Linked DNA regions of Callithrix jacchus. The protein of the gene in region 1 interacts with the protein of each later gene in a pairwise test. Links are inferred from orthologs where the notes say so. Each region holds a gene or a part of one and is shown in the gene's direction. Other genes may lie near its edges.

What was found. The genes of interacting proteins can lie anywhere in the genome.
Region 2: the proteins of RAD23A (region 1) and NGLY1 interact in binary tests that used the Homo sapiens proteins (3 or more experiments, as listed by UniProt). The two-hybrid records come from large-scale screens. The link is inferred for Callithrix jacchus from reciprocal best matches to the Homo sapiens genes RAD23A and NGLY1.
Region 3: the proteins of RAD23A (region 1) and MINDY3 interact in binary tests that used the Homo sapiens proteins (3 or more experiments, as listed by UniProt). The two-hybrid records come from large-scale screens. The link is inferred for Callithrix jacchus from reciprocal best matches to the Homo sapiens genes RAD23A and MINDY3.

Annotation. Positions count from the first base shown.
Region 1 is NC_133523.1:11,774,223-11,777,077, forward strand, and holds the end of RAD23A (UV excision repair protein RAD23 homolog A), read left to right. Parts: intron 1-1,302; coding exon 1,303-1,467; intron 1,468-1,548; coding exon 1,549-1,662; 3' UTR 1,663-2,275; downstream 2,276-2,855. Other genes in the region: GADD45GIP1 (large ribosomal subunit protein mL64), read right to left, coding at 2,842-2,855. UniProt on the Homo sapiens protein: Multiubiquitin chain receptor involved in modulation of proteasomal degradation. Binds to 'Lys-48'-linked polyubiquitin chains in a length-dependent manner and with a lower affinity to 'Lys-63'-linked polyubiquitin chains.
Region 2 is NC_133518.1:64,165,169-64,168,920, reverse strand, and holds the start of NGLY1 (peptide-N(4)-(N-acetyl-beta-glucosaminyl)asparagine amidase), read left to right. Parts: upstream 1-1,102; 5' UTR 1,103-1,123; coding exon 1,124-1,257; exon of another isoform or gene 1,258-1,918; coding exon of another isoform or gene 1,919-1,944; intron 1,945-3,752. UniProt on the Homo sapiens protein: Specifically deglycosylates the denatured form of N-linked glycoproteins in the cytoplasm and assists their proteasome-mediated degradation. Cleaves the beta-aspartyl-glucosamine (GlcNAc) of the glycan and the amide side chain of Asn, converting Asn to Asp.
Region 3 is NC_133508.1:16,717,257-16,721,008, reverse strand, and holds the start of MINDY3 (ubiquitin carboxyl-terminal hydrolase MINDY-3), read left to right. Parts: upstream 1-1,021; 5' UTR 1,022-1,231; coding exon 1,232-1,325; intron 1,326-3,752. UniProt on the Homo sapiens protein: Hydrolase that can remove 'Lys-48'-linked conjugated ubiquitin from proteins.

The DNA of each region.
Region 1 (2,855 bases):
CGAAAACAAACAAATGAACTTCCACATACCCAAATCCAACACGCAGATGAGTTCACAGTTTTTGGTTCGGGGGAGTGGAGTCGGGGAATAGAGACAGGGTCTATATTGCCCAGGCTGGTCTTGAACTCCTGGGCCCAAGCAGTTCCTCCTGCCTTTCCTCCCAAGTTGTTAGGGTTACAGGCATGAGCCACCACACCTGGCCAAGTTCACCTTTCTAAAAGATTCAGACCACATATTTTCCTGAATAACTGTCATCATCGTGGCTTCCCACTGCTCTGGAAAATGGGTCTGACTTGAGAAGACCAAAGGGTCTTCCGCTCTGGTCTTATTATCTGCCTCATCCGTCTTCCCTTCCGTGTTCACTCTGTTCTTGCTTCTGAGATTTCCAGATGCATCCCCCCTGGGCCTTTGCACTTGCTGTTTGCTTTACCTGGAGGAAACCCTCTGCATCCTCCATATTGCAGACCTCTCCAGTCCTCATCTGCATTTCCTTTCTAGCCAGGCACTTGTAGTCGTCTGGTTCATTTATTGGCTCATGTATTTATTTGTTTATATTTCTGAGAGTCTGCCACCCAGACTGGAGTGTGGCGGTGCAGTCTCAGCACCCTGCCACCTCCGCCTCCTGGATTCTCCTACCTTAGCCTTCTGAGTAGCTGGGACTACAGGCATGTGCCATCACACCCAGCTAATTTTTGTATTTTTAGCAGAGATGGGGTTTGCCATGTTGGCCAGGCTGGTCTCGAACTCCTGGCCTCAAGTGATCCGCCTGCCTGTGCCTCCCAAAGTGCTTGGATTACAGGCATGAACCATTGTGCCTGGCCTATTTCTTTATTTTGTTTATTTATTCAAGATAGTCTTGCTCTGTTGTCCAGGCTGGAGTGCAGTGGCTTACTGCAACCTCTGCCTCTTACGTTCAGTCTCACGCCTGAGCCTTCTGAGTAGCTGGGATTACAGGCGCCTGCCACCACACCTGGCTACTTTTCCTCTTTTTAGTAGAGATAAGGGTTCACCACGTTGGCCAGGCTGGTCTCGAACTCCTGATCTCAAGTGATACACCTGCCTCTGCCTCTCAAAGTGCTAGGGTTATAGGCATGAGTCAGTAGGCCTGGCCCATTTCTTGGCTCACTTAAAGCCCATGGTCAGCTCCACCAGAGCAGGGCTTACATTGTCTGTTGTGTTTGGCCAGAATAGACTCCTCTGGAGATTTGCCTGACTGAATGAAAAAGCAAGGGCTGTGAAGACCTGGGGAGAGGAGGGGGCAAGGGCTGTGAATTACCCTCCCTTCCCCACCCTCTCCTGCAGCAAATTAGCCGGCACCAGGAGCAGTTCATCCAGATGCTGAACGAACCCCCTGGGGAGCTGGCGGACATCTCAGATGTGGAGGCAGAGGTGGGTGCCATAGGAGAGGAGGCCCCGCAGATGAACTACATCCAGGTGACGCCGCAGGAGAAAGAAGCTATAGAGAGGGTAAGAGGTCTGGATATGGGGGAACTGCAGGTGGGCAGGACCCCTACCTTCTACTGCTCACACTTACCCATCTTCCCACAGTTGAAGGCCCTGGGGTTCCCAGAGAGCCTGGTTATCCAGGCCTATTTCGCGTGTGAAAAAAACGAAAACTTGGCTGCCAACTTCCTCTTGAGTCAGAACTTTGATGACGAGTGATGCCAGGAGGCCAGGCCACCAAACCCCCACTCTACCCCTACTCCATGAAAGTTTTATAAAAGAAAAAAATATATATATATATACATGTTTATTTAAGAAGTGGGAAAAAGAATCAAAAACCTTAAAAAAACACAACAGTGAGCAAAAAGCCCAGCTTCCCGTCCTCCTAAAGTGGCCCTTGTTCCCATCTTGCTCTGAGAAGACCCAGGCCAGACAGCTGTCCCCTCCTCCCCAGCCCAGCCTGCTCAGAGAAGCTGGCAGGACTGGGAGGTGACAGATGGGCCCCTCTTGGCCTCTGTCCCAGCTCCCTGCAACCAGATGGAAAGGCGGCTGCTTGCTTCTCCATCTTCAGAAGAATCCCTGAGGACCCCCCACCCCATCCTCTTCTAGGATGAGGGGAAGCTGGAGCCCCAAAATTTGATCCTCCATTGGAGCAGCCCAAATCTTTCCATCTGGAGTGAGCCCTGAAAGGTTCAAGGCCCCCTCCCCAGTCTGGCCTTGGCCTCCAGCCTAGAGAAGGGCTAACATAAGCTCAGTGTTAAGGCTACCCCCACCCCAGAATAGAACCGTGTCTCTAATAAAGGTTTTGAAGTGAATAAAGTTTAAAAAACCAGCCCTATGGTCCGTGCCTGCTGGGGCTCCCCACGCCCGCCTGTCTCAGTCTGGGGGCTGTCTGGGCACAGGCAGGCGTGGTGATGGGTGCCGGGAAGTGGGAGAGGAGTCTGTGAGTCCTTGCAGATTGGGGCTCCCAGTGTCTCCTCCCCCAGTGTGTCATTTCCAGGCAGTGGACCCCAGCCCAGCCTTACAAGGACTGCTTCTCCCTGGCCCCCACCATCACCACCACAGTCTGTTTTGGCTATACTTCTCCCCTCCCCCCCACCCCATAATTGGCTAATTACCGGAGAAGAATGTTGGTAAACAGAAGCCTTCTTCTCTTCTGCCATCTGCTTCTTTATTATTTGCCCATTGCACCCCCGCCTTTTCTCGTCCTGAAGCTTCAGTAAGCAGGGCCTACAATCCCTGTCCCCCTTTTGAGTAGAGCCAAGTTGGGGATTCCCCAGCCCAGCCCTAGGTGTTGTGGGAGGAACCAGGGGATCCAGAGAGGCACACTTTGAGGGGACACAGGTCTCTTCAGGGGGACTGCCAGGGAGCAGGCTTTTATTGGGAAAGGACAAAGGCTCAGGAGCTGGGTG
Region 2 (3,752 bases), on another chromosome or scaffold:
CCGCCCGCCTCGGCCTCCCAAAGTGCTGGAATTATAGGCCTGAGCCACCGCGCCCGGGGCAAATCACTTATCTTAAGAAATAAGTTCAAGAAAAATTACTGTTGAGGTTGAGAAGGAATTTCTGCAAAGCAGGAAGCCAGTGGTAAAGCACACTTTCAAGGACATGGTGGAGCAGAGACTGGATTAAAGTAATTAGAGATGCATCTTCTAAGAGGAATAAAAGACCTAGGATCTACCTAAAAAACAAGTCACAAAATAATAGTTACCCTCACTGTGTGGGATGCAAATTTTTATTCTCTTCCCTCCCCGCCCTCGACATTCTACTATGCATGTGTTTTACGCTGGTCACTACGGTGTAAACCGAATCCACAACCCATTATTATGTTGCAACCTATGGTTTAAAAATACACTTCTTTACAGAGGAATCATATACTAGCTGAGCTGGGACTTTGATTTTCAGTCATTCTCAAAATTCTGAAAAGAATTAATGTAACAAACTCAGCCATTTATAGCCATGATTTTGTTGTTGACGTCTGTTGCTCCTTTCTTCTGGGATCTTTCATCCACGTCTGTGTAGAACGGCCTGACAACCAGCGAAGGACATGATTCTAAGGTCGTTTTACTTGTGGGGAAAGGAGGGAGGTACATGCGGTTTCTCCGCTTTAGTGGCTGGATCAGTTCGGCTGGCCCAGGGCGCAGAGGGATTCGGGTTTCTGAGAGGAACGTGCCGGGACCATTCGCCCGGTGTCTTTAGACAGAAGCCTGCCTCCCGCCCAGCCGAGCTCTTTAGTCCTGAGGACTAGAAAACACCCTCCTCCCGACCCACGCCCCTCAGTCCCTGCGCCCAGGCCCCGCCCCTCCTTGCGGAACCCCTCCCCAACCTCGGGCCGAAGCCCCCCGCCCCTGCCGCCCAAGGCCCCTACCCCTTCTGAACAGCCCCTCGCCCCTCCCCAAGGGGCCGCCGCTGCACCCCGCCGAGCTCCCCTGCTCCAGGCCCAGGCCCCGCCCTTGCCGGCCAAGGACCCCGCCCCTCCCGGTGGCTGCGGTAGTTGCCGCGCGCTGAGGCGCCTGCTCAGTGTAGGACGCGAGCGCGAGGGGCGGCGACGGCCGCTGGCGCTCAAGCATGGCGGCGGCGGCGGCGTTGGGCAGCTCCTCAGGCTCGGCGTCCCCAGCCGTGGCCGAGCTCTGCCAGAACACTCCGGAGACCTTTCTGGAGGCCTCCAAGCTGCTGCTCACCTATGCTGACAACATCCTCAGGTGCAGGGCAACGGGGTCCGACGGCGGGTACCGGGGCAGGTGGGCCGCGGCGCCTGGTCGGTCAGGAACTGGGTGCGTCTGCCCGAGCCCCGGAGGGCACCGACGCGCGGACAGACCGGGACCTGGAACGGGTTCTGCTCCTAACGTCTGAGCCCACCGGCCGGGGGCCTCGGGACCCGGCCAGGTCCCATCCCCGCTCGAGAAGAGGAAGTTTCTTTGCAGTTGTGACTTGGCACCTGCAGTCTGGGTGCCGCGGGTGAACTGGAGCCCCGGAAGCGGGGCGGGGCGGGGCGGAGAGGTTGGAAGGCGTGATTCAGACACTGCCGCTCTTCTCGTCGTTTCACGGCCTCGGCTGTCAGGGCACAAGCGGTAACCGCGTGTCATTCCCCTTGCGTGCATTTTTTCGAGCGGACTGGCTTGCATTTCCACATGCTTATCAGAAGTTAGTCGCTGACAAGGTGGTATTTTCTTCCTATGCTGAGACTATCCTACTACTAAAGCATAACGCTTCTGCAGTGGTGGGTTTTTACATTTTTAATGTTTTCCTCCGCCCACTTTTGTTGATTGAAACATTAACTGTAGTACTTTGAAGTTACGGTTTTTATTTTAATACGTGGATTCTACATAACCCTTTCAAAATGCGTGGAGGTAGTCGCCTTGGATGAGAGTAATGTGCTTCATTCTCCTGTGAGCAAAATTGCGCTTCTGGAGGTCTAAGGGACCTTGTAGATTTGGGGAACTGGGAGGCAGGTTTAATTATTAATTCTAAATGAATACCCACCTCAACTCTTCAATCAAATGATGTGTCTTAAGGAGGAGCATGATGTGGGGGGAGGGAAATGGAACTGAGGCTGAAGGAGCACCACTTGCTTTAGTGGTGTGACCTCATTTATCAGGTCACCGTGATTAATTAGGTTCTCTGTTCCCCTCAGCCCCTGGTATACATTAAGTGGTTGGTATATTGTCATGAAGTCTGAGGAAATTCTCAGTTTCAAGGTTATAGGTTTCATGTGACCCAATTTTTAGACATTGGTTACACGTGCAGTTTTTAAAATTCATGTCGGTAATATGTTCATTTAGGTAATGGTAATGATTTTTAAAGCAAATTTAAGGGAAAATATTGAGCCTTTATTTTGTGGCAGATGCTATGAAGGATGCAGCATGTCGCCTATTCACAGCTGTGTAATTGTGACCTTTGTGGGGACCACCTTTTAGCTGACACTTACCACCTGGAAAGCCATCAAGCTATTTAAACCCCTCTATTCAGAAAAGAGAGGTGGCCTTGTCATGAAGACTCACTTCCGCATTAAATCCAGTGAAACCGAAGATGCTGAGATTGTTAGTTTGAGAAAGGCAACCGCTGCATGCAAATAATGACATTTAGCATCATAATCTTCATTATGAATGTTTACTAAACTCCTAAAAGAAACTTGGCATGCTGTCAGTTAATGTTATAGTCTTTACTAATGGCTTATATTTCCGATTTTTTTTTTTATTTTGAGACGGAGTTTTGCTCTTGTTGCCCAGGCTGGAGTGCAGTGGGGTGATCTCGGCTCACTGCAACCTCTGCCTCCTTGGTTCAAGAGATTCTCCTGCCTCAGCCTCCTAAGCAGCTGGTATTACAGGCATGTGCCACCCAGCTAATTTTTATATTTTTAGTAGAGACAGAGTTTCATCATGTTGGCCAGGCTGGTCTCAAACTCCTGACCTCAGGTGATCCACCCACCTTGGCCTTCCAAAGTGCAGTGATTACTGGTATAAGCCACCACACTCAGCCATGTTTCTGATTTTTAAAGAGTTTTTATCTTAAAAGGGAATTAGGAATTTGGAACTATTATCATTGGATATTGTATGAAAAACTGCTCTTTTAAGTTTGTCTTAGGTAATAGTGATAGGCAAAAGAAAGCAACTTGAGTTTCTAGAGTCAAAGAGAAGCATAATGATTAGTTGGGCATGGTGGCACACACGTAATAGTCTCAGCTGAGAGAAGCTGAGGCTAGAGGATTTCTTGAGTGCAGGAGTTCTAGGCTACCGTGAGTTATGTTCACAACACAGCCTGCCTGCCTGCTTGACAAAGCAAGGCCCTGTCTCTAAAAAAAAAAAAGAGAAAAGCATAATGGAAGAGTTTCATGTAGAGTAATAATGGGACAAGACACAAGGCATTGATTCCAATTATGAATATTAGGGGTAATCATAACTGTAAATCCACGAATGGAATGGAGAAAAGTATTGTAGGCAGGAATGGACAGTTCTCAATGACTGAGTACATGGAGTAGAACTATAATGAGAGGAGACAAAATGATAAAACATAACTTCAGATTTCTTTTTTTTTTCAGTAGCATTTTTTTTTAATTGTACTTTAGATTCTGGGGTACGTGTGCAGATCATGCAAGGCTGTTGCATAGGTACATTCATGGCAACGAGCTTTGCTGCCTCCATCCCCGCATCACCTATACCTGACATTTCTCCCCACGTTATGCCTCCCCACCCTCCCT
Region 3 (3,752 bases), on another chromosome or scaffold:
TTTTTTTTTTTTTTTTTTTTTTTGAGACAGAGTTTCACCCTTGTTGCCCAGGCTGGAGTGCAATGGCACCATCTAAGCTCACTGCAACCTCCTCCTTCTGGGTTCAAGCAAGTCTCCTGCCTCAGCCTCCCGAGTAGGTGGGGTTACAGGCATGCACCACCACACCTGCCTAATTTTGTATTTTTAGTAGAGACGGATTATCTCCATGTTGGTCAGGCTGGTCTGAAACCCCTGACCTCAAGTAATCCTTTGGCCTCAGCCTCCCAAAGTGCTGAAATTACAGATGTGAGCCACCACCCCAGCCTTCAAGTCCTCTTTTTTAAAGCAGCACAAATAGAAGTTTTCACACGAACTCATTTTAACCGCTAGTTTGGTGAATAAAAACTAAATTTTAGTCCAGGTGTTGGCCACACACTGTGCAGCCTCAAAAACTGGAGATGAAAATGCTGTAACATTTACAAACAGGTTGCTTTCAATCTGTTTCGCTACAAATACCTTGTAATTCTGTGTTGCACGTGGTAGAAGCATTTCTGATGCACATTATGCCAAATTATTTGCCATGTTTTTAAGTACTAGTTGGTCTAGTTGGTCTTTATTGAAGCACAGAGGTTGGACAGCCTCCAGCTTATGAGAAGCACCCTACAAAGGTAAGGATGTTACCGCACTGTGACTCAACCATTGCCTTATAGTTTCAGTGTTGCAAAATTAATACTGTAAATTAAAAGCAATGGGCATAAGTTCTAGTCCCTAGGGCCTGGGCCTCAGAGCCTCCACCTGAGCCCAGAGCAGTGCCTAGAGGAAGGAGGTATTCCTGGAGGTTAGGAACACGCTGACGCCCCCACCCGCCAACACAAAAACTACCACCCCACCAAAGGATCCCAGACGGCTCAGAAAGGCCAGTGGCTACTTCCACCGCTTTTCGTGGCTGTTTCCGCCTCCAATTTTACTTCCGGGGAGGGGACTTCCGGGCCCGCTGCCTCTAAGGGGCGGGAATTAAAGAGGAGCCGGAAGTGGAACCAGCATTTCCGGTACAGGAAACTCGCTGCTGCCCCAACCTGGCTTGACAGGCGCGGTCCCTGCAAGTAGCTCTCATCCCCTTTTCCTTCTTCCTGCCTCACTTTCCAACTCGTTTGCCGCCGCCGTCCCGCAGCTGCTGCCTCCGGAGTTGCCCCTTCCCCATGTGCCGGGGCAGGAGTCCGCAAAACGAAGACCCGCCCGCCGGTTCACCATCATGTCCGAACTGACTAAAGAGCTAATGGAGCTGGTGTGGGGCACCAAGAGCAGCCCCGGTCTCTCGGACACCATATTCTGCCGCTGGACGCAAGGTACCCTGGCGGGGCTCTCACTTGCAGCCGCCGCTTCCTTTGCCCTGCGAGAGTCCGCCTGTGACGCCTCTCGCTCCAGTCCCTCGCGTGCCCCGCGCTTTGCCCCAGTCGCCGTGCTCGGCGCACAAGCTGGACTTTGTAGACACGCCCTGCTTGCCTTGGTTGGGAGAGGTTGAGTAGGAGAATGGCTACAGCTGCCACTAAATACCCGCAGCGCCTCTTCCACTCTCCGGGCTGCCCTTCGGCTGGGGAGAGGGGTGGCCCCTTGCTGGGCTGCTTGGCGTGACACGGAACGTGCGCACCGTGCCCCGATGTCACTTTCTCAAGGGGTGCTGTGGCCTTCCGCGTCTTTACCCCAACAGAGCTGTGTGTTGGTGGTGGATGGTCTATTTTTGGAGGGAAGGAGGGACGTCCACGGGAAAGTCAGAGTGGCTAATTCCAAACAGCAGTGTTTTGTTTGTATTGTCGTTATGTGGACAGGCGCGGTACTTGGTGTGTAAACCCTGTTGCCTGCTAAAACGTGTCCTTTGGCCCAAAGTATCCCCCTTTTTGATCTGGTTTATTATCTGTCAGGGTTAAAAAAGGAATATGGATCGTAGTACTTCCTCTGCTGGTCTAATGTAACACAGACAGGATTTTTACTTATGTAATAAGTCAGTACAAATAATAATGACATAAAACAAGCATTTATTGAATTCCTGCACTGTAACAAGCTGGGCGCTTTATATGCGTAACTATCCCTCATTCTTAAGTTTTGGTAGGCAAACACAACTGACATATTCCTGAAGGTGACTTAGGAAAGATGATGAGATTAAGAACATAGCCTTGAGTCCGAAGGATCGGTAATTTATGTATCTAAAACTCTACTATTATCAAAACATCTACTTAGAGAACACCTGTTCCCTAAATAGATTGGAGGGAATTTTGGCATAGTAAATATAAATTCCTATTTAAAAACATATATTTTGTAACAAAAAATCAGGATTTAAGTAATCTCACCCTCCCTCCCTCCCTCCATCCCATATATGTTTTAAGAGCTTATATTACAATTATGACGTATTAAAACTTGGGATATGTAGTCCCTCGCTTTTGCTTTGTAGATGAGAAAAATGAATTGTAAATGGCTGGGCCAGAGTTGCACAAATTGATAGAACCGGGAGTGGATTCCAGGTCTTTCAATTCCTAATAGATCTGTTTTTATTATCTTCCTTTGAGTTTCCAAAGCCTACATGTAATGACTTTGGTTCTTGTTTTCACATTCAATTATGTCAGTTACCTAATCTTGGGCACCTGTGAGGCAGATTTTACTTTAAAACTTCCCACCTACTTATTCTAATAGTAAACAGCTCTAAAATACACAAAACTGTGAAAGACTAAACAAAAAATTATTTCCATTGTAATCAGTTAACATTTATGAAACATTTACAAAGTAGAATAAGATAACATTCAGCCCTATTTATACTGACATGCAAATACAAGGAAGATTCAGGGCGGCAGTTCTAGTCATGGTTAAGAGCACTGTCTTTGGAATAAATGTACGTAGCTTCAGGTTCATTCGATTTAGCTTATTTAAGCCTCATTTTCCTTCTCTGTAACATGTAGATAGTAGACCTTATAAAGTAGTGTGAGGATTAAAGGTCATGTCAATAATTTAGGCACTTAGCACACTATCTGACATATAGTAAACACTGAGTAAGTGGTAGCTGTTTTTATATTATTTTAAAAAGTGTTTAATTGTAGACTAAGTCAAAAATCACTCTTTGGCTTTTCCCTGACAGTTACGATAAATGATTTATTTGATGGATAATCATTCTAAATAACACTTTATAATGACTTATTAGATTGCTTTGCCACCTTTAATCACGCAGACATTCCTTAAGATTAGTTCTGTCAATACCATTTCAAAATAAAGGATTTCTTTTTTCTTTTTTTAATTTACAGAGTGCAGTTATATTTTGGATATGTAATTCTTCAGGGTCTTAGCCTGATTAAGATTTTAAGTCAACCAAACATGTTTTTGAAGTTATCACCTCTGAATCAGAGGGGTCCCGTTATTGGTTTTGGTATGTTAACTGTCGTATTCATTTGTTCTTTGAGGCCATTGCTAAATACTGCTGTAGCAGTCCTTTGGGATTATGGGAATAGGCACAAGACACTGCTTTGCTGCATTGCTAATGTGACATCAACTCTGGCTTTATTTCATAGTCTGAACCGTGTCTTCATTTGACACCGCAGTCTCATTAGTCTTCTGAAAGCAAGATACAGGTGTAAGACCTTTGGCGTGGCTGTTTATACAATTACATCTAGACATATCCCATCTGTGGAATTATACTGATTGATCAAGCTAAATTCGTTTGATATGGTTGTTAAAACAATAAGCTGCAGGAATGGCACATAGTTGTTTTTAATTGGCTTTTTTAGATAATT